7 linked regions of the Canis lupus familiaris genome follow. The protein of the gene in region 5 interacts with the protein of the main gene of each other region in a pairwise test. Links are inferred from orthologs where the notes say so. Each region holds a gene or a part of one and is shown on either strand. Other genes may lie near its edges.

Region 1 (4,141 bases), on a different chromosome or scaffold from region 5:
CAGCCACCAGGCCCTGTCCTGCCAGCGCCTCCGCCAGGTGCCTGGCCAGGCCATGGTGCTCTGCTCGCAGGGCCTCCAACCCCTGCACCACTTGTCGCGTCTGCCGCACCAGCTCCTCGGGGCTCAGGCGCTCCGGGCCCAGCCCCACACTTCCAGGGGCTGCCACCTGCACGGACATTGCTGTTCCTGGGGTGGGTAGCAGGGATTGGGGGGTCAGGGCCAGGCAAGCAGGCCCATCAGTCCCTCCTCACCCTGGCCGGCTCCCTGTCCCGCACCCATCCCAGCCAGCTGGCAACTGGAAACATTCTAGTCTAGCTTTGCCTGTCCTCAGCCATGGGCCCTGCCCTGAGGGCCACTCAAAATCTGGGGCAACCAGTGGTCTCGTGGCCTCTCACCTGCCCTCAGCTCACCTGGCCAGCCCTGTCTATCCCAAGGGCCCCAGATACCTGGCCCCAGGACTCCCCGTGTGACCTGGACTGGAGGCACACGCCTCTGCTGGGTGTGTGGGGCGGGGCATGTGGAGGCGGCCTCTCCGTGAGCTCATTCTTAGGGTGTTTTTGTTGGGAACCAGTCGGACCACTGGGGCTGGAGGGGTGGGGCCGGAGGAGAGGGCCAAGGGGCTGGGGCACTGGAAGCAGAGGAGCCCTCTAGATTTAGGGGGATGGGGGGGTGCCTGTGTGTCAGCTCCCAGGGCCTGATGGATCCCAAGGGAACAAGGACTCCACCCTCCACTGCAGACAGGCTCCGCCAGCCCAAGGCATGTTGGGACACACGTGTGACAGGCACGGCCCATGGATGTCACACTAGCCCTGTGACAGCTCAGAGTCTGAGGCCTAGATGCTAATGGGTGGGGGTCTCATGTGTGGCACTTTATGTGGTTGTATGTAGGTGACAAAGTCAATGACACAGCTGCTGGAGCCTCTGTAGCCTCTGTATTCACACACAAGCACACTCACTCCCCTCCCAGAAACAGACCCCAACACACGCACACCCTCCCTTCTTAAATACACAATGCGACACACACGTTCTCCTCCTCTCAGAAACTGAATACCTGCTCTTTCTTTTTTCAAATGCAGTGCAATATATACGTACTTTCTCAGAAACACACCTGCTCGTACACACACACACTCCCCTCTACAAGAAGACGGCTCAACATGCACACTCCTTTCTTTCTTAAAAACATAATATACATTTTCTCTGAAGCAAGACATACAGGACACTCTCTTTCTCCTCTAAAAAATAAAAATACAATCCTACACATCCACATTTTCCTTTCAAAAAACCTAATCCAAGGGTGCCTGGGTGGCTCAGTTAAGCGCCTGCCTTCAGCTCAAGTATGATCCAGGGGTTCCAGAATTGGGTCCCACAATAGGCTTCTCCCTCTCCCTCTGCTCTTCCCCTGGCTCATTCTCTCTCTCAAATAAAATCTTAAAAAAAAAAAAAAAAAACGCAACACACTTACTCAGGCTCGTGCACGCACACCCACATACTCTTTCAGAAACAACACATGTATGCTCTCCCCTCTTGGAAATATAATCCCACACACTGGTGTATTTTCCTCTTGGGAAAAAAAGCCAACACACACAGAAACTCTGTCCCCCCTCACTAGTGAAAAGATAACCAAATCCCAAATCACTCACATTCAGGCTATCTCTTTGCAGTTACCCCCATGACACACCTTTCCCGCACTTATAAGGTCCTGCAAGCAGCTAGCTCTCCATTACATGCCCATCACCTCCTCCAGGCACGCATGCGCGCGCGCGCGCACACACACACACACACACACACACACACACACACACACTCTTGGGATTCACTGTGGACCTATCATCTCCTTCCCCACTTCCCCCAACACCTTGCCCGGCCAGCCAGAGATTCACGCACCTGCACACAGCATACACACAGATACACAGAGCTTCAAACACGGACATACAGACAATTCCTGAACTCAGATTCAGTTGTGGAGACACAGAGAGGTGTTTGCATAGACCCTCTCGGGCATGTGCCTCACTCAAGCCACCAGGGCGCCGTAAGCAGCCTAGTGGTTTGGGTACCTACTTACCTGCTCACGAACATCATACACCAAGACACACAGGAAGGCAGGCACATAATCCACGGATTTTCTACACTGCAGGCTCTCCCCTGCCATCAATCTCTACATATACGTGTGTGCAGACACCAGTCTCTCTCACTATACGTATATATGTGTGTACATGTCTCACCATACTCCGTGTCACACACAAGCCCCACAAAGTTACGATCACACGTTCATGGAGTCATTCAGACAGCTCCATTATTCCCATGATTTTTGCCCACACTCAGTCCCGTGAACAACAAACTCCCTTTCACACACGTACAACCGCACAGCTGACAGTGTTAATCCCAGGCACACCCTCCCCGTCCATGCGGGTCCCACATCGCCCACCTCCCTGCGGCTCCCCGCGCCTTAACAGGCAGAAAGACCGCCCCAGCCACGCAAGCTCTGAGTCACGCACCTAATCCTATAAACAGAGCAACTCCCTCCCATACACACGGCCCCCACCCCCATCATTAGACGCACAGAGGTCCGCCCACGTGTTGCATCTGAGACAGCTCCACGTCGTTCCCACAGTCCCTGGGCGCCCGCACACGGTTACACGGACCATCCCTGTCCCTTCCTCGCCCGCACCCACCGCCGGAGCCCGTCGCGCACACACCTGAGCTTCGTACACCATCACACACACCTGAGCCTCGCACACCGCCTCTCATACGCCCCATCTCCACGCCCGCACCTGCAGGCCAGCCCCCTAAACCGCACACCTTACCGCGGCCGGCCTGGCCCAGCCCCGCGCACCCCGGCTTCCCCACCCCCGCCGTCACAAGGGCCCCCGCCCTCCTCCCCCCAGGCCCCGCCCCGTCTTCGCTCCTGTTTACCTGCGCACCGGGGAGGGGGCGCGGCCCCAGCTGGGCCTCGGGACCCGGGAGGGGGGGCCCCAGGGCGGGGCAGGAGGGCCCAGGGGGCCCAGGAGCCCCAAGGCCCGTCCCCGTCGCCAGGCCAGCGGGCCCCAGGGTGCGCGGGGCCCAGCCCTCACCCTCCGCCCCCATCCTCGCGGTCCCCGGGACTCCCCCGCCCAGCACTCGAGGGGCCCACCTGAGCGCCGGCGGCTCCGGGACCCGCTCCGCCGAGATGCGCCGGGCCGCGTCCCGCACACCGCGCACGCCCGGCGGCTCCCAGCTGCGCCCTGGGTCTCGGGCCGCGGGCGGCTCCTCCGAGGGGCGGGGCGGGCGGAAGCCCCGCCCCCGCAGGTGAGCCCGCCCCGCCCCCCGCCGCTCCCGCGGAGCCCAGCCCGCCCGCCGCGGGGGAAGCGCCAGCGCAGCAGCGGACCCGCGAAGCCCTCCGCGTGCCTGTCGGGCCCGTCGAATCTGAGCGCGAGCCCAGCGCGCTGGAGGCTGCCAAGCCGGGGTGCAGCGCAGCTCGACCCTTGGAAACTAGGGATCCCAGGCCGAGGGCTTTCTAGCAGCGCCCGCCGCCCGGCCTTGCCTTCGGCTGTGCCCGCTGCCTGGGCCCCCCCTATTCCCACAGACGCCATTCGTTAGTCTGGTAGCTTCACAAAGGCCGCTTCCTCCGAGAGGCCTTCCCTACTGGCCCTTTTTTCTTTAAAAAAAAAAACTATTGGAGTTCAATTTGCCAGCATATAGCATAACACCCAGTGCTCATCCCATCAAGTGCCCCCCTCAGTGCCCGTCACCCAGTCACCCCCACCCCCACCCACCTCCCCTTCCACTACCCCTTGTTCGTTTCCCAGAGTTAGGAGTCTCTCATGTTCTGTCCCCCTCTCTGATATTTCCCACTCATTTTTTCTCCTTTCCCCTTTATTACCTTTCACTATTTTTTATATTCCCCAAATGAATGAGACCATATAATGTTTGTCCTTCTCCGATTGACTTATTTCACTCAGCATAATACCCTCCAGTTCCATCCACGTCGAAGCAGATGGTGGGTATTTGTCATTTCTAATGGCTGAGGAATATTCCATTGTATAGTAAACCACATCTTCTTTATCCATTCATCTTTCGATGGACACCGAGGCTCCTTCTACAGTGTGGCTATTGTGGACATTGCTGCTAGAAACATCGGGGTGCAGGTGTCCCGGCGTTTCAT
Region 2 (3,991 bases), on a different chromosome or scaffold from region 5:
AGTTTCCTTCTCAACTGTCATGGCATCAGCAGATTTTATGGAAGGATGAGGGAATGGATGGGCTCACTACCCAGAGCAATTTTTGGATGCAATTATGAGACTCCCCTGGCACCGATTTAAGATCTGCAAGTTGGAGCAAGTTGCCATGCACTCCGAGGAGGGATTAACTAAACCAATTTCATCTCAATTTGCGCTGTTCAGATGATAGAGTCATGAGGAAACTAAGTCACTGGGGCCTGTAGCAGGGCTTCCCAGGGTGACCGTGCAAGGTACAACGTGCCAGGTGAGATCTAGTGGTCATGAAAGAGGGAGCCAATCAGCCCTTTGTTTTCCCTAGCCTCTACCCCTGTCTTGCTCCTCCCTGTCCTACTCCGGGTGCTGCAGGTAAGGAAGGAGGCCTCAAATGAGGAGGCCAAATATGAAGGCCAAGACCTGGAACTTGGCCCCATCAGCAGAGAACTCTGCACACTGTAGGTGCTCAGTAAATATTGTTGACTCACTGCTGCTAGATGCTAATCATGCTCCTATTGCCAGGCCTAAAATTATTTATGCCGCTTTTCAGTAGAAATTAACTGCCCCCATACAGGCTAAAAATGGGTGAGGTTATGTTTGCAAATGAGTCTGACTCAGACTGTTAGGTTGGAGTACATTAGATATGATTCAAGCTTCAACTTAAAATAATCACCATTACTCCGTATGCCTAGTTTTATGCATGTTTTCATTCAGTTGTACATGCTTTAGGAACAACAAACAACAGAGTCCTGAGTATGGTGATAGATTTGGCTCCTGGGGTGGAGGGTGGCTAAGGATGGTAAGTTAGGGTTTCCAGTAAACCAGAGTTCCTCCTCACACCCAGTCCAGCTATTATCCCCATAAAAAGGTAAATGAAGCGCTTTATTTGAAAAGCGTAATGCTGAGAGTTTATAGAACCCTTTCATCTTCAAAAGACCAAGCAGAGCCTCAAAATGCCCAGTATACAGTATTATGCCTTTTACACAAGTACACCAAGTATAAAAGAAAGGTCATAGGAATGTCCTAGGGCCATAAAACCAATGTGATGTCAGATTTGGGATAAACTCTCTGATCTTCCTGACTCCTAGACCCATATTTCAACCACAGAAATCCAGTTGTGAGGAACGACCAGGAAAAATCTCGTTCACATTATGTATCTATATTAAGGTAATTGATTGGGCAGGCATATATAAAAATAGCAGACTGTTTCTCCCTTAGGGCAGTCAGTAGGATTGCAGAGGGGAGAAAAGGGGGCATGTGAGGGTTGGGGTAATCAGCTAGAGTCAAGCCAGAAGGAGGAGAGAGAAGCTCCCTATTATTCAGCATTTCCCTTCTATTGGAACATCACCAGAGAAGTGATTAGAGAGCATTGGGAGGGAACAGAATAGGGTTCAAGGCAGCCCTTGCCGCCCAACTAGAGAATCCAAGGAATCAACCACATACATGACTGGTCTTTTTATACAGTTTCCACTATATTCCTGTATCAGGGCTCCTCCTCACAGGCACACAACCATCACCATGCACCTACCCCACACTCAGAAATCCTCAAAAAGGCAAATTGGTTGAGGAGCAAGAGGCTGGAGGGCTGGGAGGCAGGTGGAGCACGCACGCAGGTTGGTGGGGGTTAGTCTGGGGGGGACGGTGCGTTCTGCTGGGAGACCTGGGTGGGCAGGTAGGTGTGTGACAACGCAGGAAGAGGGCAAGTGATTGCGAAGAAGGGTAAGGGAGCATGGAAGAGAGAAAGTGAAGAAAACTCAAGACCCCAGGATCCCAATTTCCTGCTCTGTGGGGTTTGGGTGGGAGGGAGAACCAATAAAGAAAAAAAAAGAAAAAAAAAACAATCAAACAACAACAAACAGACACACACACACACACAACCACAAAACCACAAAACGCCTCCAAGAAATAATGTGCTACACACAAAGTGCTAAGTGGCCTAAAGCTCATCATTACCGAAACTGTTTCTGTAAATCTAGTCCGCCGTTATTTACTCCATTCTTAAGAGGCAGGAATGGAAAAACCCTACCTCTCCCCGGTACGGTCGCAGTCTGTCCTCTGGACATAGAGAAGTTTTCCCTCTCTCCCACTGAGCTGGTTTCAAGGCTAGGCCAGAAATAAGGAACCACCCAGACGGAGACCCGGGAATCGCTCCCCTGGCAGAAAAGGGAGTAAGTTTCATCTGGCCTCCCCGCCGGCAGGGTGTCCGCAGCATCCCTGGCTGCTGCAGCAGCCACTGCCGCGTGGAGGGCCGGTCGAGGGGCGCCGCCCGTGTCAAGAAGGCTATCGGCCGCGGGAGCGTGGGAAGGCGGCGGTGCCCTTTCCCAGACTCACGCACAGGCACCGGGGCAGCCGCTCGACTGCCCGCGCCAGGCGAGTCGGGGCGCTGGAGGCCTCGGGCCGCCCCCGCCCCACACCCCGGAGTGCAAACTCCGTCCCAAGAGGGCAGCGACGGGCACCCAGGCCAGGCCGGGGCCCCCACCGCCGACACCGCCACCTCGAGCCTCGCGGTGCCCCGTCACGCCGCCCCGCCGAGCCCCGGGGCCCTGGGCCCCGTGCCGGGCCCCAATGGCACCTGAGAGGCGGCCGGAACCGGAGCCCGGGTCGAGCCGAGTGCGGGCGGTGCCCCTCGGCTCTCGGGGCCGTGGCGAGGGGGCGCGTTTTACCCATAGCGTTCCCGGGTGCCAGCCATCTCCTTGGCGCGCCCGAGGGCGCCGGGCGCTCGCCTGCCTCCGCTGGGAGCTGGCTCGGGCTCCGGCGCGAGCTCCCGGGCCGCCGCCGCCTCTCTAGGCCGCCGCCCGCCTTCGCCGCCGCCGCCGCCGCCGCGCAGCAGCCGGGATCCGCCCGCCCGCGCGCCCCGCGAGAGACAGCACGGCAGCCGCGACGCTACCGCAGCTGGGTCTCCAGAGACGAACTTAAAGAGTTTTAGCCCTTTCGTCCAGGGGCAGCACCATGACACCACGGCAGCACCACACTGTCATTTCCGCCGCCGCAGAGGAAAAAAAAAAAAAAAAGGCAATCCCTACGAAAAGGGGGGTGGGGGGCAAACAGGGCTGGGGCTGGCGCCCCGAGGTAACACTGCGAAGGGCCCCGGGTACCAGGGGCGCTTGACCACCTTCCCGGTCTCACCTTCCTCCACCCCCGCCGCTCCCAGCTCCCCCAGCCCCTCCTGTGGAGGCGCGTTTACAGGTTTTCTCCCCTGGCTGGAGTGACCGGAGAAACCTGAGCAAGCCAAGGCAGCGGGTGGGTGGGGTTCGGGTTACTACGGTACCTACCAGCTGATTCCAGCAGCTTTTTCTCCAGCGCCCTGTCATCTTGAAGGAAGACACACCGAGGGGCTCGAGCGGGCGTGTGTGTGCGAGCGCGTGTGTGTATGTGTGTGTGAGCGAAAGACAGAGAGAGAGAGAGAGCGCAGAATGTGTACGAAATGCAGAAGGAAGACTATGGCCAAACTCTTTTCCCACCCGCCAACCCTCTGATCGCACAAGCCACCAGGTTAGAACAAGGAAAAGGCCATCGCCACCAGCAACGACAAGAGAGTGCCTAGGTCCACCGCACTGGTTCTCAGATGAAGCCGCTCCGGTGCAAAGTTAACTACCAAGTAAAACAAAAATAGTGGAGGACACATAAAAGGGCAGACAATTGAAGGAAACCCAACCCCTCTTTCTTTTTACAAAGGGAGAATGCCTGTGTTTTATTGGCCTTGGGCAGAAGTTGTGGAGATGGATTAAAGCCACCAAAATTTTAGAAAAACAAAAGAGAGTAGAGTCTCATCTGCACATCCAAATCCTTGATGGGCAAAACAAGAGGGTCGTTAAACAGGACAATAGGACAGATGCCAGCCATCCAGGTATAATGTCCCTAATAAGCTAATTGGTCCATCTGGAACCCGGAAGCCTCATTGGTCTGGAGTCAGCCTCTTGGCTGACCTGTCATTGGCTCAGAGACCACCACCCCACTCACAAAGAGGATGAGAGAGGAA
Region 3 (4,042 bases), on a different chromosome or scaffold from region 5:
CTCTGCCTGTGTCTCTGCCTCTCTCTCTGTGTTTCTCATGAGTAAATAAATAAAATCTTAAAAAACAAAACAAAATAAAACCAAAAACAAACAAAAAAAACCCTTTCCATTAGGATGACAAACAGAGGGTGGGGAATTAAGGACTAAGACACAGGTATAATATCACTTAACTCTGATTCTTTAACATACACACTAGTCCCCTGCCCCCAATAACTTTCTCTCACTGTGCTTCAGTCAAAGGGGCTTCCTTCTGTCTCCCTGGAGGGCTCCTGTACATAGCACAGCACCAGGCTCCTGAAGTGTCAAACCCAAGAGGCTCGAAAGATCAGTGTGGAGACTGCAAAGCACTAGCACGTAGGCCAAAACCCACACGAGTTTTGTTTGGCTCCCAGCATATTAGTTGTCAATTGTTTTTTTTTTTTTTTTCTTCAGTTGCCAATTGTTAAAAATCCAGAGAGATTTCACTTAACTGCATAATAACAAAGGGGAAAAAAGGAGAAAAAAGAATGAGGGGGGGAAAAAAAAAAAAAGGCTGGCTACACTTAGCCTGTAGTATTATATGCTATCAGCATGGTGGGACCAGATGGCAATCACCCCTTTGGATGAAGTAGGCAATGTCTTGTCCTCCTAGGGTCCCCTGTCTAACTTGGCTTATTTGTGTTTTCAACCCTGGGCTAGTCCAAATCTTACTGTAGAGAAACGAAAACTAAGGAACAGAAAGGAGAAAGGTCTTGCCCAAGTTTACAGAGCAGGTTAGAGATAGTGTTGGCTGACACAGGATCCCATCTACACCCCTCTGTTCTACGGTCCACACCCCTTGCTTGGATCAAACTAATGTGACTCGGTGCTCCAGAAAGTAATTTCCTCTGAATCCTGGGACAGCAGGTTAGCCCAAACATCCCCACCTCACCAGTAGCTGCCCTCTGCTCACCCAGACCCTTGGCTTTCTTCTTCTCCTGTGGCCTTCGGTGATCTCGGTCTCCAACCTCGTCACTGGTCCGGATCTCATCTGTGCCCGGCTCCCCCTTGGAGGTCTCCTTCTCACCATTGACCACTGGGGTCTCTGGCTCAGGCTCCCCATTCCTTGAAGCATAGGTCCGGGACTTGTCTGCATCTTCGGGTTCAGCAGGCTCACCCTGTGCCCCATCCTCACCTGGGCCCCCCTGATTGTTGTCCACACAGTATGTACTCAGGATGTCTTCCAACTGGCGGCTCAGCTCCTCAGAGACATCACGGAGGGCCCCGGACTGAGCAGTTTTGGCTTGTGCTCCTGTGGCAGGGCAAGATGAGCGGCAGAATGAGAAATGAGAAACAAGATGGTTAATTCCATTTGCTGGGATTTTTCAGGCCCAAACTTACTGGTTGGGGCTAAATGTTGCCTACTTTCTTTAAGCCTTAGTTTATTTACCCATAAAATAAGATTATTTCCCACTATTGCCCAATCATGTCTGTTATAGATGTGAAAGGAATCAAGGAAATAAAGCATCCAGCATATAGGGATGGCATGTACCTGGAGCTCAACATCTAGTCCCTCCCTTTCCCCTCCCTGCAAAAATCATTTCTTGCTATTAAAAAAGTTCTAAGAAAGCCTCCAACATGAAGAGTAGTTGCCCACTGGTGAATGCAGCATTTCTAAGCCGGGCTAGCTGGTTGGGTGTCTCATCTGAGCGCCACCTGACTTAACCCTGTCAGAGCCTTCTCTTAAGAGTTCTGCTCCTGTGCTTTGAGTGGGAGGCTCTATCAACACCCTGGGGAAAGAGGGATCTGCGGGTGGCAGTCCTCCTCTCATTCTACATTTCCTCCTTCCTGGGTAAACAGTGGCCTAGGCCTGGAACTCCAGAAGCTATCCTGGCGCACCACAAACTCCTCCCCCTGCCCGCTGGAAAGCAGAAATGGCACACACCCTCAGTCTTCCCTGGAGCCTGGCTGGAGGAACCTTCAGCTTCTGTCGCAGGAGCCGGCTGGCTGGGGCGCCCCTGGGTTCCCTCTGGTCCTACTTCGGCTTGCCCCGGGTTGCTTTTTGGGTTGGAAGTGTTGCCCGACTGCTTGGCAGCCCCGTTCTTTTTGTCTTGGTTCTTCATTGTGGTTTGCAATGCTAGGCTGGAAACAGATCCTATAGAAACAAGCACACTCGCTATATTCCAGACTTCAAAATTCTTCACAGCCTGGATCCGAAATCCCAATCCCGGGTGCACAAAGCTTCTTAGGACACACTGGCCGTCCCTCACCAGAGGGAGCCAACGGTTCTCTCTCTGGCCAGTCGGAGGAGCACGGCGCGCCCAGGCAGGTTTTCGGGGCGCTGCTTCAGAAGCGCGGCAGGCGAGGCCTCCTTTTTCTCGAAGCCGCTTCCCGGCACTACACAGCCCCCTTACCACAGGCCGAGCGCGGGATAGGCTCAGGGCCGGAGACTGACGTGGCGGGACGCTCGATTCCCATCCCTCCTCCGGCCCCCAAGCCCCACGTGGGCCCCCCCGCGCGCAGCCACCCACGCCCCGCGCGCCTCCCGTCCGCGCATGCGCACAGGACCAGCCCTGCCCCCCCCAGCCCACTCCCTCGCGCGGAATCGGCGTGATTCCCTCCACCGACCGAGAGTGTTCAGGCCCACCGACCTGCTGGTCGCCTTGTTCCCCCCAAACCTCCGCAACACGCACCTCACTGCCGACCTCCTGACGGCTTCGCCCGCTCTGGCCTCGCACCGGAAACCCTGGGTAACCGCTGCCGGCCAAGCCGCCTGCTCCTGCCACAGCCAATCAATAGCCGGCGCTCTCGCGGGGCTTGCTGGGAAAGATGAAGCGAAGGCAGCCTGAGGCGGCCTTTGAGGCGGGTGAGTTGGGCAGGCGGAGGGGGAGGGAAAGGACTACATGTCCCTCCATGCACCGCGGCTGACCCCCAACTCCCAAGATGCAATAGAAAGGACTTCAGTCCTGGGAGGCGGATACCCAGGAGGTCTGAAAGGAGCTAGTCATTCTGCACGAATACTGGAATCCGCCTGGTTCCTGTCGTGCAGAATTTATGATTCAGGTCCAGAGCCCTGTGCCTGGCTGTTCTTTCCCGCACGCCCTTACCAGCCTCAACCCTCTGCTGTGAACATCTATGACCAGGAACTCTGATGACAAGGGATAGAGCATTGGGCTGGGAATCAAGACCTGTATTCCAGTTCTAACTTCATCGCGAATTCGCTGAGGGGCCATTCTTTTCTTTCCCAGGCCTCATTTTCCGTATTCAAATGAAAACTTTTCATAACAGTAGTAGTTCTTTGCTTACAGTGTGCTTTCCCACCTACTAGCTTAATCCGCCTATTTACTAAGCTCAGTACTATTTTTTATTCCCATTTGCATCTGAGGACAGTAAGGCAAAAGTTAAATAACTTGTCCCATCGCTATTGAGTAGTGAGTAGGGATTCAAAATCAGAAAGTCTTCCGTTTTACCTCCTGGATTACCCTGACTCGTACCCAGAAGAAATTCACCATGGCACTTTCTCAAAGGATGAGTCAAGGTAATTTGGTGGAATTATTCCCCCCACCCGCCCCAACTCTGCGTTACCAGCTTGAGTCCTTCTCTGGAAGGGGTTGACAGGGCTCTGCAAGAACTTTGGCCTCAGCCAATTCCTGAACATTTTCTCTGACTGGCCCATCCTCTACAGACAAAATCGGAATTGCCATGGGCTCAAGGGGAAAAACCCAAACTTTCTCTAAATGTGAGATCACAGTTCTATATTCAGCTGTCTATACATAATAGAATAAAAGCTACCAACCCCTGTGCCTGGAATTTAATGTGTAAATGGCTTGGCTTTTGTTTCCAGTCAGTTCTGTCCATGCCCTTTGCCTTTTTTGCTCCCACTATACTCTATTTCCAGGATTTCCAAGTTTTTTGCAGGTGCTAGTCCAGTTTCCAAAATGCCCTTCTGGCAAAACTAGTATTTTGAGGTCTAGCACAAAGGTCATTTCAGACCCTTCCCAGTGCTCTGTAGTCTGTCCCAGCTCTCTAGGTCTGGATAGAGCCTTTTTTTTTTTTTTTGGATAGAACTCTTTAACATTTGTAA
Region 4 (3,500 bases), on a different chromosome or scaffold from region 5:
GTTAAGTTTTTGAGTTAAGCTATCCAAGCAGAAAGCCTCTTTGGTTGCCAACTCTCAGCATCCAAGAATTCTGGGCATGCAGACACCCTCAAAGGCCCAGATTCCCAGCTTTCCCCTGTGGCAGGCTCACCAGACGGGGAGATTTGGTCAGACACGCCCTGCGCCAACTGCCTGATGCTCTTGCTCCTTCATCAATGTCCAGGAGAATCCGGGTGCTGGGTACAAAGCTCCAGGAGCGTCCAAGGGCAGGTTTGAGCTCCCCGCTGTCCCTGTCTCGGGTCATGTGGTTGGTCACCTGAAGCAGAATCAAAGATTTCCAGATTGATAATGCTAGTGTGAGGACATCTGTTCCTACTGCTTTTTCATTCTTTAAGTGGCAAGACTGAGGCCCAGCACAGAGAAATGACTTCTCCAAGGCTCTCAAAGTTATTGACAGCAGCTCTGGAACTAGCCCCCTGGGTCCTCACTTGTGTTTAACTTTTTCCACTAAATCACAATGTCTGGGATGCCTGGGTGGCTCAGTGGTTGAGCATCTGTCTGCCTTTGGCTCAGAGCATGATCCTGGGTCCTGGGATTGAGTCCCACATCGGGCTCCCTGCATGGAGCCTACTTCTCCTTCTGCCTGTGTCTCTGCCTCTCTCTCTGTGTCTCTCATGAGTAAATAAATAAAATCTTAAAAAAAAAAAATCACAATGTCTCAGGCTTGATTACAGCAGAAGGTAACAGGCATGTGTCTGGGAATAAGCAGGGCTGTATGCACTCTGCTGATGGGAAGCCAGTGGTGGGCCTGCGCCTCCTATCCCCAACCCAGCAGACAGGCCTTCTTTTTTTAAAATATTTTATTTATTTATTCATGAAAGATACACAGAGAGAGGCAGAGACACAGGCAGAGGGAGAAGCAGGTTCCTCTCAAGGAGTCCGGATGTGGGACTCGATCCTGGGACCAGGATCATGCCCTGAGCCCAAGGCAGACACTCAACCACTGAGCCACCCAGGCATCCCCAGACAGGCATTCTGAAGCCACATGCACCCCGTGCTTTGTGTCACGGAGCACATCTGTGTGTAGGGGAGTCGTGCGAGCTTTGAAAGGGAGGTCATAGTCTGGTCAGTCAGTTCTACTATGCCCAGGATAGTCATGGGCAGGCAACCTGAGCTTTACGGCACCCTTTTAATGAGATTCTCCCCACCAGCCCTCCAACCAGGGGCAGGGGCACAAGCAGATCACGTACATCCTAAAGTCAGGAGAGAGAAGCCCTAGAACTCAACTTAAGTACAAAAGAACACTGCTGGTGGGTGTAGAAATTAGTATGACCTTCCTGGAAATTCAGCGATATCATACCTACATATTTAAAAATGTGTGTATCCCCGGGATGCCTGGGATTGAGCCCCGTGTTGGACTCCTGGCTCAGCAAGGAGTCTGATTCTCCCTCTCCCTCTGCCCAAAGCCCACCCTAGCTCGTGCTCCCTCTCTTTCTGCTACTCTTTCTCTCTCAAATAAATAAAACCTTTTTAAAAAATAAAATAAGAAATAAAAATGTGTGTATCCCTAACTCAGTTATTATACTTTTAGATTACTGAAATCTTGAGGGAATAATATAAAGGAATAATATGAAATGTGCAATGAAGTTAGGGTATAAAGGTGTTCATTAGAGTTTTCCTTAAAGATTTATTTATTAGAGAGAGAGAGAGAATGTGAGCATGTGAGCAGTGGGGAAGGACAGAGGGAGAGGAGAATCTCGACCAAACTCCCTGCTGAGCACAGAGCCCGACATGGGGCTCAATCTCAGGACTCCCAGATCATGACCTGAGATTGAGTCCAATGTATAAAACCCAGGCACCCCAGAGTTTTACTTAAAATAGAGGAAAACCAGTATGACCTACCAAGCACCAAATGAGGAAATAGATCATTATGGGATACCAGGGTATTAGCAAACTACTCCCCACAGGCCAAATATGGCCCCAAAATTGTTTCTGAAAATCAAGTTTGGCTGGAACATAGCCACGCCCTCTGTTCAGGACTGTCTGTGGTTGCTCTCACGCAATCCAGGTGGAGCTGAGGAGCTGTGACGTCAATGTTATCGCCATAGAGCCTCGACTATTTACTGTCTGGCCCTTTGCAGACAAGTTTGCTGACCCCCAGTAACACAGGTATTAAAGATTTTTTTTTTTAATTTTTATTTATTTATGATAGCCACACAGAGAGAGAGAGAGAGGCAGAGACACAGGGAGAGGGAGAAGCAGGCTCCATGCACCGGGAGCCCGATGTGGGATTCGATCCCGGGTCTCCAGGATTGCGCCCTGGGCCAAAGAAAGGCAGGCGATAAACCGCTGCGCCACCCAGGGATCCCTAACACAGGTATTACATAAAATATGTAACTGCTAAAAATGGCATTCTTAAAGCATCTATTTAAAGACATGGGAAGTGGAATGAAATGAGTTATTTTTTTAAATAAGGTTACAGTTTAATTGGAAAGCTGGTTAAAAGTATATGTATATATATATGCAGAGAGTAAAGATCCTATGGAGAGGGCAGCCCAGGTGGCTCAGTGGTTTAGCGCCACCTTCTGCCAGAGGCGTGACCCTGGAGACCTGGGATCCAGTCCTGCATGGGGCTCCCTGCAGGGAGCCTGCTTCTCCCTCTGCCTGTGTCTCTGCCTCTCTCTCATGAATGGATAAATAAAATCTTAAAAAAAATAAAAATAAAAAGATGGGGATCCTTGGGTGGCTCAGCGGTTTAGCGTCTGCCTTTGGCCCAGGGCGGGATCCTGGAGTCCCGGGATCGAGTCCCATATCAGGCTCCCGGCATGGAGCCTGCTTCTGCCTCCTCCTGCGTCTCTGCCACTCTCTCTCTCTCTCTCTCTCTCTATGTCCATCATAAATAAATAAATATTAAAAAAATAAAAAAATTTTAAAAAGATCCTATGGAGATATATAAAAAATATTAATATGTTTTCTGTGGATGTGGAGATTTACTACACATTTGTCTCTTATATTTAACTATTTTTTACTCTATGAGAAACAGGCAGACTTTTAAAAAAGTACTCTGTAAGCAGAAAAAGTGATGTTGAAAGCAAAAACATCCCTTTCTGTGAAGCACCGGAAGAGGCAAAACTATACGGACAGACACTTGATCAGTGGTTGTCTGGGGCTCAGGGACCTCTCTGCGGTGACCGAAATATTCTAGATCTTGATTATGCCGGGGTAACGAGACCGGATACATTAGCATCTGTTAGCCAAACTTCGAACGAGGAGTTACTCTGTGTGAATTATACCTAGATAGATCTGTCTTAAAGTAAAAAAGAAAACCGAGGCTGTCCTTTACCCCTTGGCTCTTTATGTCTGACCCCAACACAGTCCAGTGCTCTAGATGGCCCAGGGAAGAAGGGCCACTTTGGGGGTTCAGACGTTGCCATTTAAGGGAAGCAAACAGCTGGAACTAGAAATCGAATCCATGTCCCCCCATCTCAGCACAGCCCAGGGAGCAGAGAGAAGACCAGCAA
Region 5 (4,278 bases):
TCTACTGCACAGCCCGTCCCATCTCACTTCACTGTCTCCTTCAGCCATGACAACCGGAGGGAGGGTCTCCTTGGGCCGCCTTCAGTTCCCCGTCGGCATGTCCCCACGAGCACTTGGTCACTTTTAAAACGAGGCACGTGAGAAGAAGAAAACCGGGGACATCGAGTCGCCGTGAAAACACAGCGGCCTCGGTGACATCTGGAACCACGAAGCGTCTTTTTGGACCGACGCGGGGCACAACTCACCCTTCTCTCCTACACGAAGGGGCAGGGCAGTCCTCTTGGCAGAGACACACGCACAAAAAAAGTTGGAAAGCTGAAACCCTGCAGCGCTGGCTTGGCCGGACAGGCCGCCTCGGGGAAGTGCGCTCCTCCGCCTCGCGGGGTCAGCGGATATCCTCACGTCGTGCAGCTGTCAAATCCCAGCTCTGCCCAGGAAGGCCGCTCGCAGTGGAAGGCGCCCCCAGCCATTCGGGGATTCTCGTCCGGGCGGCCACCGAGCTCCCGGGAGCATTCCCACCCCGCCCCTCCTCCGGCGCCAGGCCCTGCCCTCCGCAGCTCCGCCCTCCGCCTCGGCGGCCGGCCGGCAGCTGCCGGGGAAGCCTCGCCAAGCCCTCCTTGCTCGCCGGCCGCCGGGGTCGGAGACCCGGGCGCTCCTTGGAGGGGGGAGGGTGCGGGGTGCAGGGTGCAGGGTGCAGGGCGGGGCAGCCTCTGCAGCCGCTGCCTCGGTTGCAGCGTTGGAGGAAAGCGGCCCCGGCCCCGGCGACGCCGGAACCCCGGGCAGACGCCACTTCTTTTCCTCTACCTGCGTCCTCGCCCACCGCCCGCTAAGCCGGACCCGCGCAGGGCCGGGCCGCCGAGCTGGCGCACAAGCGAGGCCCCAGGCGCAGAGCCCGCCCCTTCGCCCAGCCCCATCGGTGGGGCTCGGCCCAGAGGGCGGGAGGAGGGAGGGGAGATGGGGGTCCTCACCCCCCTGCAGCCCCTCCCCTTTCTCCGCCCGGCATAAACCAGGAGCCGCCCCTGCCCCAGCGCCCTCTTCCCCGCCCAAGCAGACGCGACCCGCGGAGGCAAAGCCATTGGAAAGAGCCCCGCCCTCCGACGGGCTACCTCCGGACCCCAAGTCCGCGCCCGGCCGCCAACTGCAACCGGCTGCTACGCATGCGTGATGGCGAACAGAGCGCATGCGCCGAACGGACTTTTTTTTTTTTTTTTTTTTTTTGCGTCGGGGGCGTTTCCGTCCCGTGACGTACGGATTCTCCCGGCTCGGAGCCGGGGAAAGAAAAGTTAAGAAGTACAAGTACAATGAAGCTATTACGGAGAGAGGCCGAGCACGGCCAAGAGGGCTTAGACACACACCTGGAGGAAACCGCATCCTCACTTAAGATCAGCTTGGAAAGAGTGACGGTGTCTTTATTACGCCAAATCCGAGATTGAAGAAGGCAGGGGTGGGGGTGGGATGGGGGGGGAGGGGGCGTCGTCGCATTGGCTTCTGGGAAGTGTAGTTTTGATGTACCGGCGCGTTCTGCGGGCGATAGAAACTACAGTCCCCAGGAGCCCCTGCGACGTTGCCCGTGGCGGCCTTCGAGCCAACGGTTAGCGCGGACGGAGCTTGGTAAGCGTCGATTTGGGGAGCGCTGGGGGGTTTCGGCTGCCAATTGAGGCTTTTTTTTTTTTTTTCCTTCGTTTCCTCAGGGATTTTGGAGATCGAGGCATCTAGAAGATGGCCTCTTAAGTCCAGGGGGTTTTGTCCGGTGTGTCTGGGAAGGAGTAGCGCGGGCGCCCCGGGCGGAGGGCGCGTTGGGGCGCGAGGAAGGGATGCGGCGGGAACGGCTGCCCCGCGCGCGGCCTCCGCTCGCACCTCTGCCGGGGGGACCCGCGAGGGCGGCCTTAGGTGACCCCGTGCGCTGGCCCTGGCGTCCGCCTTTGCGCGGGGGATGTTGTGTGTTTTCTGCGCCCAAAGGAGATCCCGAGCAGAAGCCAGTTGTCAGATTCATTTTGCACGAGAGACTAAGGGGAAAAGAAGAAACCCCAGCATCCCTGGATGGGAACGTTTGCAGCCTTCCCCCCCCCCCCCCCTTAGGTGATGCTATTTAAAAAAAAAAAAAATCTCCCAAGATTTAGTATGTTTGTTTGTTTTTTTTAAGATTTTATTTACTTAATCATGAGAGACAGACAGAGAAGCAGGCTCCATGCAGGGAGCCGGATGCGGGACTCGATCCTGGGTCTCCAGGGTCACGCCCTGGGCTGCAGGCAGCGCTAAACCACTGAGCCACCCGGGCTGCCCGATTTTATTTTTTATTTATTTTATTTTATTTTATTTTATTTTATTTTATTTTATTTTTATTTTAAATTATTTATTTATTTATTTTAATTTATTTTATTTTTTATTTTAAAGGATTCATTTGCATAAAAGGTTCATGTTTGTTTGTAAAAAAGTCGTACCTCTGGAGAAAAGTCAAGGTGTGAAGGGCCGTCCGGTTCGTCAATGAGATTTTAATTCTCCGCATGGTGGGATGGATGGCGTTTATTACACCAGTGGAGCCGTGGAGGGGCCGGGGCGGCTCAGTTCCCCGGGTGGGGAGTTCGAGCCCCGTGTTGGGTGTAGAGGCCACTTAAATAGAAACTAAAAAAAAAAAAAAATGATAATGATAATAGTAAAGTCAAATAAGTTATTTTAGATAACTTAGTTAAATTTTAAATTATAATGATAATAGTAAAGTCAAATAAGTTATTTTAAACAGCGTACTTAAGTTTTAAATTTAAATTCCGTTTTTGAATTTTAGAAATTTCTCCTTGTGAGGTGCTGAGTATGCAACAGGGGGAAAAGCCGCAGCCCCCTCTCCAGTGATGGCATCTGGTAGTAAAATACACAATTACAGTACACAGTATGGTAGCTGGCTATCTGGGACGTCTAGAAAGAGGGTCTCTTGGCTTAATCCTGGAAAGTCAGGGAAATTCTTCATCCCAGGGAAAGAAGACCGGAAGAAGCCTATGGTGAGGCTCAGAAGGGAGAGAGAGAGACAGTACTTTCAGGAAACTGCAATAAGCCAAAATCCCCTCTATTTTGGGAAGGGTAACTTCCTGTGTGTTGATCTACTTTGAAGCCGCAAAGAGACCAGCCCTGTGAATTTTCCGGATGGTTTCTGAGAGTGACCTGACCTTGGACAGATTTGACAGTTTAAATGAATTAGTCTGATTTGAAAAGGCCTTGCTACTTTTATGCTACTTGGTTTAAATCTGATTTAAAAAAAAAAAAATGTGAACTTGTGAGTATGATTTCAAAAAATTTAAAAAGACATTCCTTTTTTGTCCTTTTTTGGGGCTCCTCCTCCTTGTCCAATGCATAGCGTAGTTTCTTAAATCTAGATCCCCTTTTGCCTGCATAGTTGAGTCTGCTCCCATCCATACACATGGTTCCACTGCCACCTGTGACTTGTAGACGTATAGCTCCATCCAGCTGTACCCATGATCTACGTAAGCACAGCCTTTTCCAAACTGCCGTAATCTGTTGCCAAGACCATTGTCATAGTGATTGTTCACTCTGGCCTTTCTCCATTAGTTCTCCACACTGGAGCCATACTGAACTTTTTGAAATGCACGTCCTGGCCAGACTTCTCTTAAAATCATTCATTGCTGTCTCACTATTCTTAAGGCAAAACTTGTTTGTAAAAAGCCTAATAGCCTCTGGTCTCTTTCCACCACTGCAGCCTCACTTCGTGTATCTACCACTCTCCACCTCTCGCTACTTCAGCCATACAGATCTTTCTTTAGTCGCTGGTTTTCCTATTTCCACCTAATTTCAAATTTCCAACATATCTGTTGAGTGCTATGTAATGGGACAAGTACATATGTCATTGAGCACAATATACATTGACACTTGAACAACATGGATTTGAACTGCACAGGTCTGCTTACAAATGGATTGTTTTTTGATAAATACAGTACACTAGTGTAAATCTATCTTCCTTATGGCTTTTGTAATAGCATTTTCTTTTTTCTAGCTTACTTATTTTAAGAATACTGTATATAATATGTATACAGAGTATGTGTTGCTTATGTTATCTGCAAGGCTTCTAGTCAACAGTAGGCTTCTAGTAGTTAAGTTTGGGGGGAGTCAAAAGTTCTATGGATTAAAAGTTGTGGGATTTTTTTTTTTTACTTCCTGGTGGGGAGTTGGCACCTCTAACCCCCCACGTTGTTCGAAGGTCACCTGTACAAAAGTTCCTACTCTCATTGAGCTTACATTCTATTAGGGAGAGATCAACAATAAATATATAAT
Region 6 (4,151 bases), on a different chromosome or scaffold from region 5:
CAGGCACTCACCCTGCAGCTCCAGGGAGTCATCCTCATGCTGCCCTGCCAGTTCCCGGGTCTCCTCCAGCTCTGCCACCAGCTGTAGCACCTGAGCCCGCAGCTCTTCCAGCTCTGTCTCTGTGAGGCTCAGACCCCGGTGCTTGCTAACAGACAGGGAGCCCACACTGCCACCTTTCTGCACTTGCTCTTCCTCTTCTTCCACCTCTTCTTCTTCCTCTTCCTCCTCATAGAGAGCTGGGAGTAACACTTCCCCTAGGAGAGAAACCCATCCCACCAGGGGGTCAGAGGCAACTTCTTTTCCAGAGTCCTTCAAGGGCCCTTCTGCTCATTGTCCCAGGGCAGAGATGGTATAATAGTGCCACCTGGTGTCCCCCAAGGAGCCCCCTCGGCAGGACCTGCACTCGGTGATGAGTCCTCAGGTGTAAGGGTCAAGTTTGGAGGTAGCCCATCCCCACCCAGGCCCTTCCTGGACCAGTATTGTACCAGGTGGCCTCTTGCTACTGACTTCGGGCAAACTGAGCAGCTGGGTGCTGGTTAGCTATGTGAGCTTGCACAAGGATACATGCTTCTTGCAGTCCTGGTGGTCTCTGCATAGTGGGACAAGTACTCAAGAAAGGATTCAGATGCTGGCCGTGTCTTTAGGCCAAATGGGACAAGAGTTAAAGTCTGGGGTTTGTCCAAAGTTAAAAAATTATCCAGGTGGCTTGGAAGAAATTAGCTTTTCCAGAATAAGAAAGGGTTGCCTATCGGTAGTTAGAAAAAGAAAACATCTGAATGAAGTGATTTTAAATGTTTTACTGGACCAATACTGAGGCCCTTTCAAATGTATTCTATCACATGGCTGTTCTGAAATTTTCTGCAGAGTCCACTTCCTTTTCTCTGCTGTTAGGAGGCCTCTCCCTTCCTCAAGTGTTATGAGTTCCCTCCTCCTAACTTCCCTCCCCAAACCTGAAGGAAACTTCAGGTTTCAGTTCCAAGGCTGTACTTGTGTGTAAAAAAAAGCCTACCATTTTAATGCATCAGGAAACTGGGGTGCACTGGTCCCCAGCCTCTGGTTGGTGAGTACCCCCTCCTTTGCTGCAATGCAGTTCCTTGAAATAGCGACATTTTGTCAGGATACTGATTATTTGCTTTGTTTTACAATTCTGAATCCCTGGTCTCATGACAGCAGCCTAAGGTCCATCTGGGACCCCTTGTGTCATCTGTCCCCCTTAAAGGAGCAGGGTTGCCCACACAGTGTGCGTGGAGACCTGGGAACACTTCACAGGGAGTCCTGGGAAACGGATCAGCATCCTTCCAGGAGTCTGGTGTTGGCAGCAACTGTCAAGTAACATGGGTGCGGTGGGGATACATGAGTGTTGGGAGGTTGGCCTTCTCACCTGCCCCCTCCCAGGCAATTCTTTCAGGCTGTAAGGGATCCTAAGAGAACCAAAGCCACAAAGGCTTACATTCAAAGTTAGTGGTGGTGGCACCAGAAGGACAATGCTCACTTCACATGCTCACTTCCCTGCTTTTCAAAAATATGAGACAGCTTGGGATCTGGGTCGGGTGGCAGTGAGAACAAACCCCCTGCTGAAAGGCCTGCTTCAAAGCTCTGTCCAACGAGGCCTCTTTCTCTGTCTGGCAGCTCCCCCCGGGACACACAACCTGGTTAGCTGGTGATTAGGGCCCCAAAGGGAGGCACCCAGAACCTCCCTCAAAGCCTGAGCCCTGAGGAGGGGTAGATTTCAGACCTGAAGGGTAGAGGGGGCTCAGGTGAGCTACAGGAAGGGCTCTGTCCTGGCTGGGAGCTCTGGGGACCAGATGGGGTAAGGAGGAAGGAAGGGAAGTTGGCTGAGGGGAGAGAAAGAAAGCTCTTTGGGAAAACTCACCCTCCATAGCTTGCATCCCCCGCCGCTCCAGGGACCCCCAGCGTTGGCCTTTCTTCCTCTCACAACCCTCAGATGCTTCATAGGAGCCTAAAGTGGTCACTGTGGGTCCTGTGGGTAGGAAGAGAGGAGGCACGGTGGGCTACTAAGGGGGCTGGGGGCTGGGGTGCACAGGAGGGAGAGGGGGACGTGCCTTCTAGCCCTCTGGAGCCCCAGAGTTTTTAATCCAGGTGGAAGTGCTCGGCTCACGCGGCCCCGGCTGCGACTTTCCTCCCTCAGCCGCCCCTCGAGCTGGGCCTGCGGGGATCCCGCCCTGCGCTGCCCAACCTCCCCGGCATCCCCAGTTCCAGGCTCCTCTCCCAGCACAGTCTCTTTAGCTGTGAAGGGAGACGGGCGAGAGCCAGGGCAGAGAGGCTGAGAGGGTGAGGTGGTGCAAGGAGGGGAAGGAGGGGATGCGGGGCGGGGGGATGCGTGGGGCAAGGGGTTCCGGGCCGGGGCCGCTCCCCTCCGCTCCGTTCTCTGCCTGGACCCATCCACCCCATCCTCGCCCTGCGCTCCGAGCCTTCGGCCGGAGGGGGCGCAGGGTCTGGGGCCCAGGGCCGGACCGACGGGGTGGAGGGGTGCAGGGCGAGAGACCGCCAGGGGATGATGCGACCGGTGTGGGGAAGACCCAGCCCGGAAAGATGGAGACCGGGCCCGGGGTGAGGGGCAGGATGAGGGAGGAAGACAGGACGGAAAGGTGGGAGCGGCGGAGGGAGAGGGGGGAGAGCGAGGACGTGGGGGTCTGGAGGGAGGAGAGATGGAGAAGAGGAAGGAGTGGCGGCGGAGAGGTGAGGGAGGGGCGGCTCTGACCTGGGCCGGGGCAGCTCCAGCCCGCGGCGCCCGCGCCCGCCCCGGCGCCCGCCTCCATGGCCGCTCGCGCCGCCGCTGCCGTCGCCGCCCGGAGGAGACGCCGCAGCCGCCAGGCCGGGGACCCGGAGCCGGTGCGCAGGGGAGGGAGGGCGGGCCGAGGGGGCGGGGCCTGGCCGGGCCACCTGACGCCACCCCCGCCCGGAAGCCCTCGCTCCACCGCCCTCCGGGACCCGGGCGGCGAGCGGGCGCGGGGGGCGACGGAGCCCGGCCCCAGACTCACCCCAGGGCCGGGGGCCGGGGGCGGGGGCGGGGGCGGGGGCGCCCTCGGAGCGTGAGGCCGTCCCGGAGTGGCCGCGAGGTCGCCTGGTTCCGGCGAAGGGTCCCGCCCGGGCCGGCTGCGCGCGGAGACCCCTCGGGGCCAAGTGTCAGACGAGCCCCGTCCCGCGCGGGGATGGGGCAGGAAGAGCACAAAGCTGGACGCATCCTCCGCTGCTGTTTCCTCCAAACGCGCGGACACACGCCCGCCAAGCGGGGCCCGCGTCCCCCACCTCCGCAGGCAGCGCGGACCCCGGCCGCAGCCCCCACCCCCGCGCGGTGGCCTCTTGCGTCCCGGGACTGACCGCGTCAAGGCAGGAGAAGGGAAGCCAAGGCCGAGATCTGTGACCCGCAGGGCCCTGACCCCCCTGCTTTCCCCGCGCCCCAACCAAGCCAGAGCCCGAACCCCCTCGGGAGGGCGGTGCCTTGGCCCCTCGCAGCCCTCACTGCCTGAAGACCTCTTCCCTCCACCACTCTGCCTTCCCCCCTGGCCCCACACCCAAGGAGCTGCGATGCACGACTTCCACCCACCCTGCCTCTGGAGCCTGTTCCGAGTGGGCACTGCTGATTTTCACTCTCATACAAGGGAGACGTGGAAACCCAGAGGGCTTGTTTCACGTAATCGTTCATTCAGGGCACATCTACCTGGTGCGGGATCAGAGGAGGCAATCGTTCTCAGGTCTCTACAGGTCTCACCCAGGAAAGAAGTGGATACACTTGGGAACCAGGCAGTCCCAATGCATCGAGGAAAGTGTTAGGAGATTCCTGAGCCAGGGACACACACCAATCCCTTTTCTTGGCTATCCACTCACCAGGTTATGGACGTGCATTGTCTGTGTTCACAAGCCCTCTGTATTCTTCAGGAAAGAAGCCTTCCTTTGCCTAGACATACCTACTTATTCTACAACCCTCAGTCAGGAGTCACCTCTAGGCAGCCTCTCCTGATGCCCACCCCTAGACCAGTAGAGGCCTGCTGTGCTCCACACTGTCCTCTTTACTCCTGGGGTAGCACCTGTCACTTTGTCAAGGTCAGGTTTTTACTTTTGTGTCTGCCCAACTTCTGGAAGATTGGGAAGTACTTTAGTCATTTGTGTATGTCTAGCATCTGACAAAG
Region 7 (4,091 bases), on a different chromosome or scaffold from region 5:
GTACTTTACCATCTTCCACCCACTACACTGCAAGTACTCATACTCTGGGACTGAGGTATAAGAAAGACCTAGGGTTCTGCAAACACAAACCACTAGAAATTATCCTTTGCCATTTGCCTAAAATGACTTTCCTCATCTTCTCTTCCATTGAAAGGTTACTCAACTTTCTTAACACAAGTCAAATGTCACACCATACTGGAAACTTCCCCTAATCTCCTTAGGGTCAGAATCTTTCTACCAATGGGTACAGAGAATGGCATCAGGGGCTGAGATCATGACTTAAATGAGTTATACCCCACCTGAGTTGAAATCCCAGGTTCAAACTTTATCACCTATGACTCTGGACAAGATCTCTTAGTTTGCTTCCTCATTTCTAAATAACAGTAGCTAGAAATTTTTATGAGAATTAAATAATGGGCTACGTGCAAAATACTGCACGGAGCCTCACTAAAATTAAGTATTCAATAACAGTTAAATGTTATATGACTATTTATTCCCACTCTGGGATCCTACAGTAACTTGCACCTACCTCTATCATACTATTGTGATGATGTAACTGTTTGCTCATACAGAACACAGATTATCTTCTATCATCTTTTTATTCCCACTACCAGGCATAATATACAATATAATAGGTTCTTTTGTAGATTTTATTTATTTATTCATGAGAGACACAGAAAGAGGCAGAGACACAGGCAGAGGGAGAGGCAGGCTCCATGCAGGGAGCCCGATGTGGGACTCGATCACTGGACTCCAGGATCACGCCCTGAGCCAAAGGCAGACGCTCAACCACTGAGGCACCCAGGTGTCCCCAATATAATAGGTTCTTAACAAATCTTGAATAAACAAATAAAATGCTTCCAACCCCTAATAAGGCCTCAATTTTTTTATAATGGTCTTACAAAATTTACTTTCCATATCCTTGTAAAAAATTGGTACTTTAAGTAAAATTTACAAGCCAGTCTTATTTTGAGAAAAAGGGAATTTTGTAGGGGCGCTGTGTTATTTTCTTGTTTAAAACACAGTCTGGGGAGCTGGGTGACTCAGTCAGTTAAGCATCTGCCTTTGGCTCAAGTCATGCTCCCAGGGTCCTGGGATCAGTCCTGCATCAGACTCCCTGCTGCTCAGTGGAAAGTTTGTTTCCTCCTCTGCCCTTGCCCCTTCCCACTTGTTCTCTCTCAAAACTAATTTTTTTTTTTTTAAGTTTAAAAATAAATAAATAAATAAAACACAGTTGGTCAAGTGTCTGCCTTTGGCTCAGGTCATGATCTCAGGGTCTTGGGAATCAAGAAGCTCTGCTAAGCTGGGAGCCTCCTTCTCCCTGTCCCTCAGCTGCTCCCTCTGCTTGTGCTAATAAATTCTTTTTTAAAAAAATGATGTAAAACACACAAAATAAGACCACTCTACTATCAATTTTTTCCACATACTCTATAAAATACCAAATTTCTAGGATCGTTATCTACCTGTTGAAAAAATTTTAAAAGATAATCAAGGCAGGTTTTTTAAATCTGGTGGGCTTCCTTACCACCAAGGCCTGAGCCAACTCTAAGGACTAAGGTGTATTGCAGAGTTTTTTGTTTTTTGTTTTTTTTTAAGTAGAACACGGCATTTTTCATTCTGAAAACATGCTACCGAGAAATTCTAAAGAACATTAAAATAATCAAAGAAAATAATTACTACTACTCACTGCTTTAAAAAAAAAAAAAAAAAAAGACCAGTCTGTGCTTTAAAAATCACTAGTAATTTAAAGCTAAATTAATCTTCAAATATGTGTAGGTAATGTTCAAGCTAGTATTAAGTAGGGGTGAGGGGGGCTCATTTTACAATATTGACCCTCAATAAATAAAACGCAAAAGGCAGAACGGTTTTTTTTTAAGGTATTACTATATAATAGCATGGTCTCTACTTCTACACTTGACCTTTAAATATTAATGCCCTCTGAGTAATTATTAATGGCTTTAATATGCAAACACCTCCGAGCTACTTCAGAATAAACATGATTAAATATCTAAAAATAAACGTATTAGGGAAAGGAGAAAGGCCTGTTAAAAAAAACCGTTTCTCGGTCTCCCATCAAATGTGTGCCATACATACGGTTCGGCACCGAGCGGCAGCAGCAACCTGGGAGGGTCAGAGGCGCCGCAGGCCCGAGGCCCTGCAGCTGGGGCGGCTGCTCATCACCGAGACTACCGGGGGCGGTGGCCCAGCCCAGTCGGGGTGGGGCTGAGCGCTGTTAACCGGGGCGGGCCAAACGGCAGGACGGGAAGCCCAAGTCTCACCTCCACTTCCCTTTCCCAGCGCAGAGCGCAGTTCGGCGACCACCCAAGAGCCCCAGCACCACAAAGACACAGATTTTCTCTGGCCCGGTAGGCTCAAAGTTTATCGGTCTTTCCCAGCAGCCAGGGCCGCCGGGCTTTGTAGTTCGCCGGTCCAGGCCACGCCGCCACGGCCGCAAGCCTGCGGGGCCGCTAAACTACGATCCCCATAATGCCCCGCGAGCCTCGAGCTCCCACTGTTCTCCACCTCCCCTGCCGGCGCCCCGACCGCCGCGCCGCCGCACCGCCTAGGCGGCGGGACACTGGGTGGGGCTGTCAGCCTGGATACCCCCCCACCTGCTCTCCTGCTTGCGCCCCTCTCCCTCGGATTCATTACCTAGGTGCCGCAGCTCGGCCGCCGGTTGGTGATGCGGCCCGGTTGGGGGAAGGGCACAGGCCTCTGCGGCCGCCGAGTCCGTTAGTTCCCGACGTGCGTGAAGAGGCGGCGGCGGCGGCGTACGGTTGCCATGGCAGCCGCGAGGCGAGCGGTGGGGGGAGCACAGAGGCTCACAGTCAACTCGGGGGAGGAGCCTGAGAACCCCGCCCGGGTGCGGGGGAAGGGCGGCGCAAGGGTGAGGCGGAGAGGGGCGGGCGGTGACCTGGAGGAGGACGCGCGGCTGATCGAGCTCGGGGACTGCCCGACGAGCCCTGCCGCGGCCGCGGCCAATCCCTCGGCCGGACGCTGGTCCGCTGCGGTCGGCGGAGCGCCTCGGTGCCGCTCTATTCTGAGACGGTAGCTGTGGCGCCGGAGGAGGCAGCGCCGGGCGTCTCGCCGCCGGGCTCCGTAAAGGTCGTCGGGCCCGGGCCGGCCCGTCCCCCTTTGGCCTTTCCACCAGCAAAATCCCATTTGCAGTGTTGCACACCCTCTGCCGCTTTCGGAGGAGCAGGGTGGAGAGGAGTCCCTTAGTAAGGTGTAGAGCGTACGGCCTTTCGGATTGTTGAGGTCTGAGAACGCCTAAGAGGCGCCGATTTGGGCTGAACGTTTGAGGCGTATGCTATTCCTGAGGTGATGGTTTGTGGACTCTGCAGCAGCCTTCTCAGAGGTGCGGGGCCGGGGCCGTAGAAACCGTAGAAACCGCAGAACCGCTTCTCGGTTCCCGCCCTGCCCCTACCCGGGGCAGCGGATCCCCGGGGGCAGTTCACTCCCGGATGCGGAACGCCTTACTCTGCAAAATGGAGACGATGTCTAGTGCCCAGTGCCTTGGAGAAATCAGGGCGTCGATACCGATGGACCACTGTGAAACAAAGACTGGCATTTAACAATGTTTAAATCTTATTTAACCCTTCGTGGTAAGAGTCAGAAGAGGGGTGGCCGGAGGGGAGGCTGGGGTGCGGCTGAAGACGGAATTCTCTAGTGATGGAGAAGCTCTGTCTCTTCCTTAGGCTTCGGGTTACAGAGGCATATGCCTTTGTCAAAACTCATGGAATAGTACCCGTAAAATCTGCACATTTCACTGTAGGTGAATGTACCTCAAAAAAAAAAAAAAAAACATAAAAATAATTCAAGATCAGTCTTAGCAACTTACAAATATACAATACAGTGTTGTTAACTTTGGTCACCAGGCTGTACCTTACATCCCCAGGACTGACTTATTTTACAATAGGAAATTTGTACCCTTCGACCACCCTCCTCACCCACTACTCCCAATCCCCACATCTGGCAACCACCAGTCTGTTCTCTGCATCTGTAACATCGTTATTAGAGCTGTAGACTCTAATAGAAACCACGGAGATGGTCTCTGTCCAATCTCCAGACTTTGCAGATGAGGAAAATGA

What was found.
Region 1: the proteins of CEP57L1 (region 5) and KLC3 interact in binary tests that used the Homo sapiens proteins (3 or more experiments, as listed by UniProt). The two-hybrid records come from large-scale screens. The link is inferred for Canis lupus familiaris from reciprocal best matches to the Homo sapiens genes CEP57L1 and KLC3.
Region 2: the proteins of CEP57L1 (region 5) and MID2 interact in binary tests that used the Homo sapiens proteins (3 or more experiments, as listed by UniProt). The two-hybrid records come from large-scale screens. The link is inferred for Canis lupus familiaris from reciprocal best matches to the Homo sapiens genes CEP57L1 and MID2.
Region 3: the proteins of CEP57L1 (region 5) and TXLNA interact in binary tests that used the Homo sapiens proteins (3 or more experiments, as listed by UniProt). The two-hybrid records come from large-scale screens. The link is inferred for Canis lupus familiaris from reciprocal best matches to the Homo sapiens genes CEP57L1 and TXLNA.
Region 4: the proteins of CEP57L1 (region 5) and RAD51D interact in binary tests that used the Homo sapiens proteins (3 or more experiments, as listed by UniProt). The two-hybrid records come from large-scale screens. The link is inferred for Canis lupus familiaris from reciprocal best matches to the Homo sapiens genes CEP57L1 and RAD51D.
Region 6: the proteins of CEP57L1 (region 5) and CCDC136 interact in binary tests that used the Homo sapiens proteins (3 or more experiments, as listed by UniProt). The two-hybrid records come from large-scale screens. The link is inferred for Canis lupus familiaris from reciprocal best matches to the Homo sapiens genes CEP57L1 and CCDC136.
Region 7: the proteins of CEP57L1 (region 5) and KATNAL1 interact in binary tests that used the Homo sapiens proteins (3 or more experiments, as listed by UniProt). The two-hybrid records come from large-scale screens. The link is inferred for Canis lupus familiaris from reciprocal best matches to the Homo sapiens genes CEP57L1 and KATNAL1.

The regions. Positions count from the first base shown.
Region 1 is NC_049222.1:110,906,957-110,911,097, forward strand, and holds the start of KLC3 (kinesin light chain 3), read right to left. Parts: upstream 2,801-4,141; 5' UTR 2,758-2,800; coding exon 2,697-2,757; intron 187-2,696; coding exon 1-186. UniProt on the Homo sapiens protein: Kinesin is a microtubule-associated force-producing protein that may play a role in organelle transport. Plays a role during spermiogenesis in the development of the sperm tail midpiece and in the normal function of spermatozoa.
Region 2 is NC_049260.1:81,967,037-81,971,027, reverse strand, and holds the start of MID2 (probable E3 ubiquitin-protein ligase MID2), read right to left. Parts: upstream 2,801-3,991; 5' UTR 2,680-2,800; coding exon 2,676-2,679; exon of another isoform or gene 2,585-2,675; intron 2,061-2,584; exon of another isoform or gene 2,039-2,060; intron 1-2,038. UniProt on the Homo sapiens protein: E3 ubiquitin ligase that plays a role in microtubule stabilization. Mediates the 'Lys-48'-linked polyubiquitination of LRRK2 to drive its localization to microtubules and its proteasomal degradation in neurons.
Region 3 is NC_049223.1:68,417,954-68,421,995, forward strand, and holds the start of TXLNA (alpha-taxilin), read right to left. Parts: upstream 2,801-4,042; 5' UTR 2,652-2,800; intron 2,114-2,651; 5' UTR 2,082-2,113; coding exon 1,904-2,081; intron 1,271-1,903; coding exon 932-1,270; intron 1-931. UniProt on the Homo sapiens protein: May be involved in intracellular vesicle traffic and potentially in calcium-dependent exocytosis in neuroendocrine cells.
Region 4 is NC_049230.1:38,224,477-38,227,976, reverse strand, and holds part of RAD51D (DNA repair protein RAD51 homolog 4), read right to left. Parts: exon of another isoform or gene 3,469-3,500; intron 3,287-3,468; coding exon of another isoform or gene 3,230-3,286; exon of another isoform or gene 2,860-3,229; intron 296-2,859; coding exon 131-295; intron 1-130. UniProt on the Homo sapiens protein: Involved in the homologous recombination repair (HRR) pathway of double-stranded DNA breaks arising during DNA replication or induced by DNA-damaging agents. Bind to single-stranded DNA (ssDNA) and has DNA-dependent ATPase activity.
Region 5 is NC_049233.1:66,409,266-66,413,543, forward strand, and holds the start of CEP57L1 (centrosomal protein CEP57L1), read left to right. Parts: upstream 1-1,478; 5' UTR 1,479-1,611; intron 1,612-4,278. Other genes in the region: SESN1 (sestrin-1), read right to left, coding at 1-48. UniProt on the Homo sapiens protein: Centrosomal protein which may be required for microtubule attachment to centrosomes.
Region 6 is NC_049235.1:7,706,669-7,710,819, forward strand, and holds the start of CCDC136 (coiled-coil domain-containing protein 136), read right to left. Parts: upstream 2,801-4,151; 5' UTR 2,781-2,800; coding exon 2,723-2,780; intron 1,982-2,722; coding exon 1,874-1,981; intron 255-1,873; coding exon 12-254; intron 1-11. UniProt on the Homo sapiens protein: May play a role in acrosome formation in spermatogenesis and in fertilization.
Region 7 is NC_049246.1:9,766,045-9,770,135, reverse strand, and holds the start of KATNAL1 (katanin p60 ATPase-containing subunit A-like 1), read right to left. Parts: upstream 2,801-4,091; 5' UTR 2,653-2,800; intron 1-2,652. UniProt on the Homo sapiens protein: Regulates microtubule dynamics in Sertoli cells, a process that is essential for spermiogenesis and male fertility. Severs microtubules in an ATP-dependent manner, promoting rapid reorganization of cellular microtubule arrays.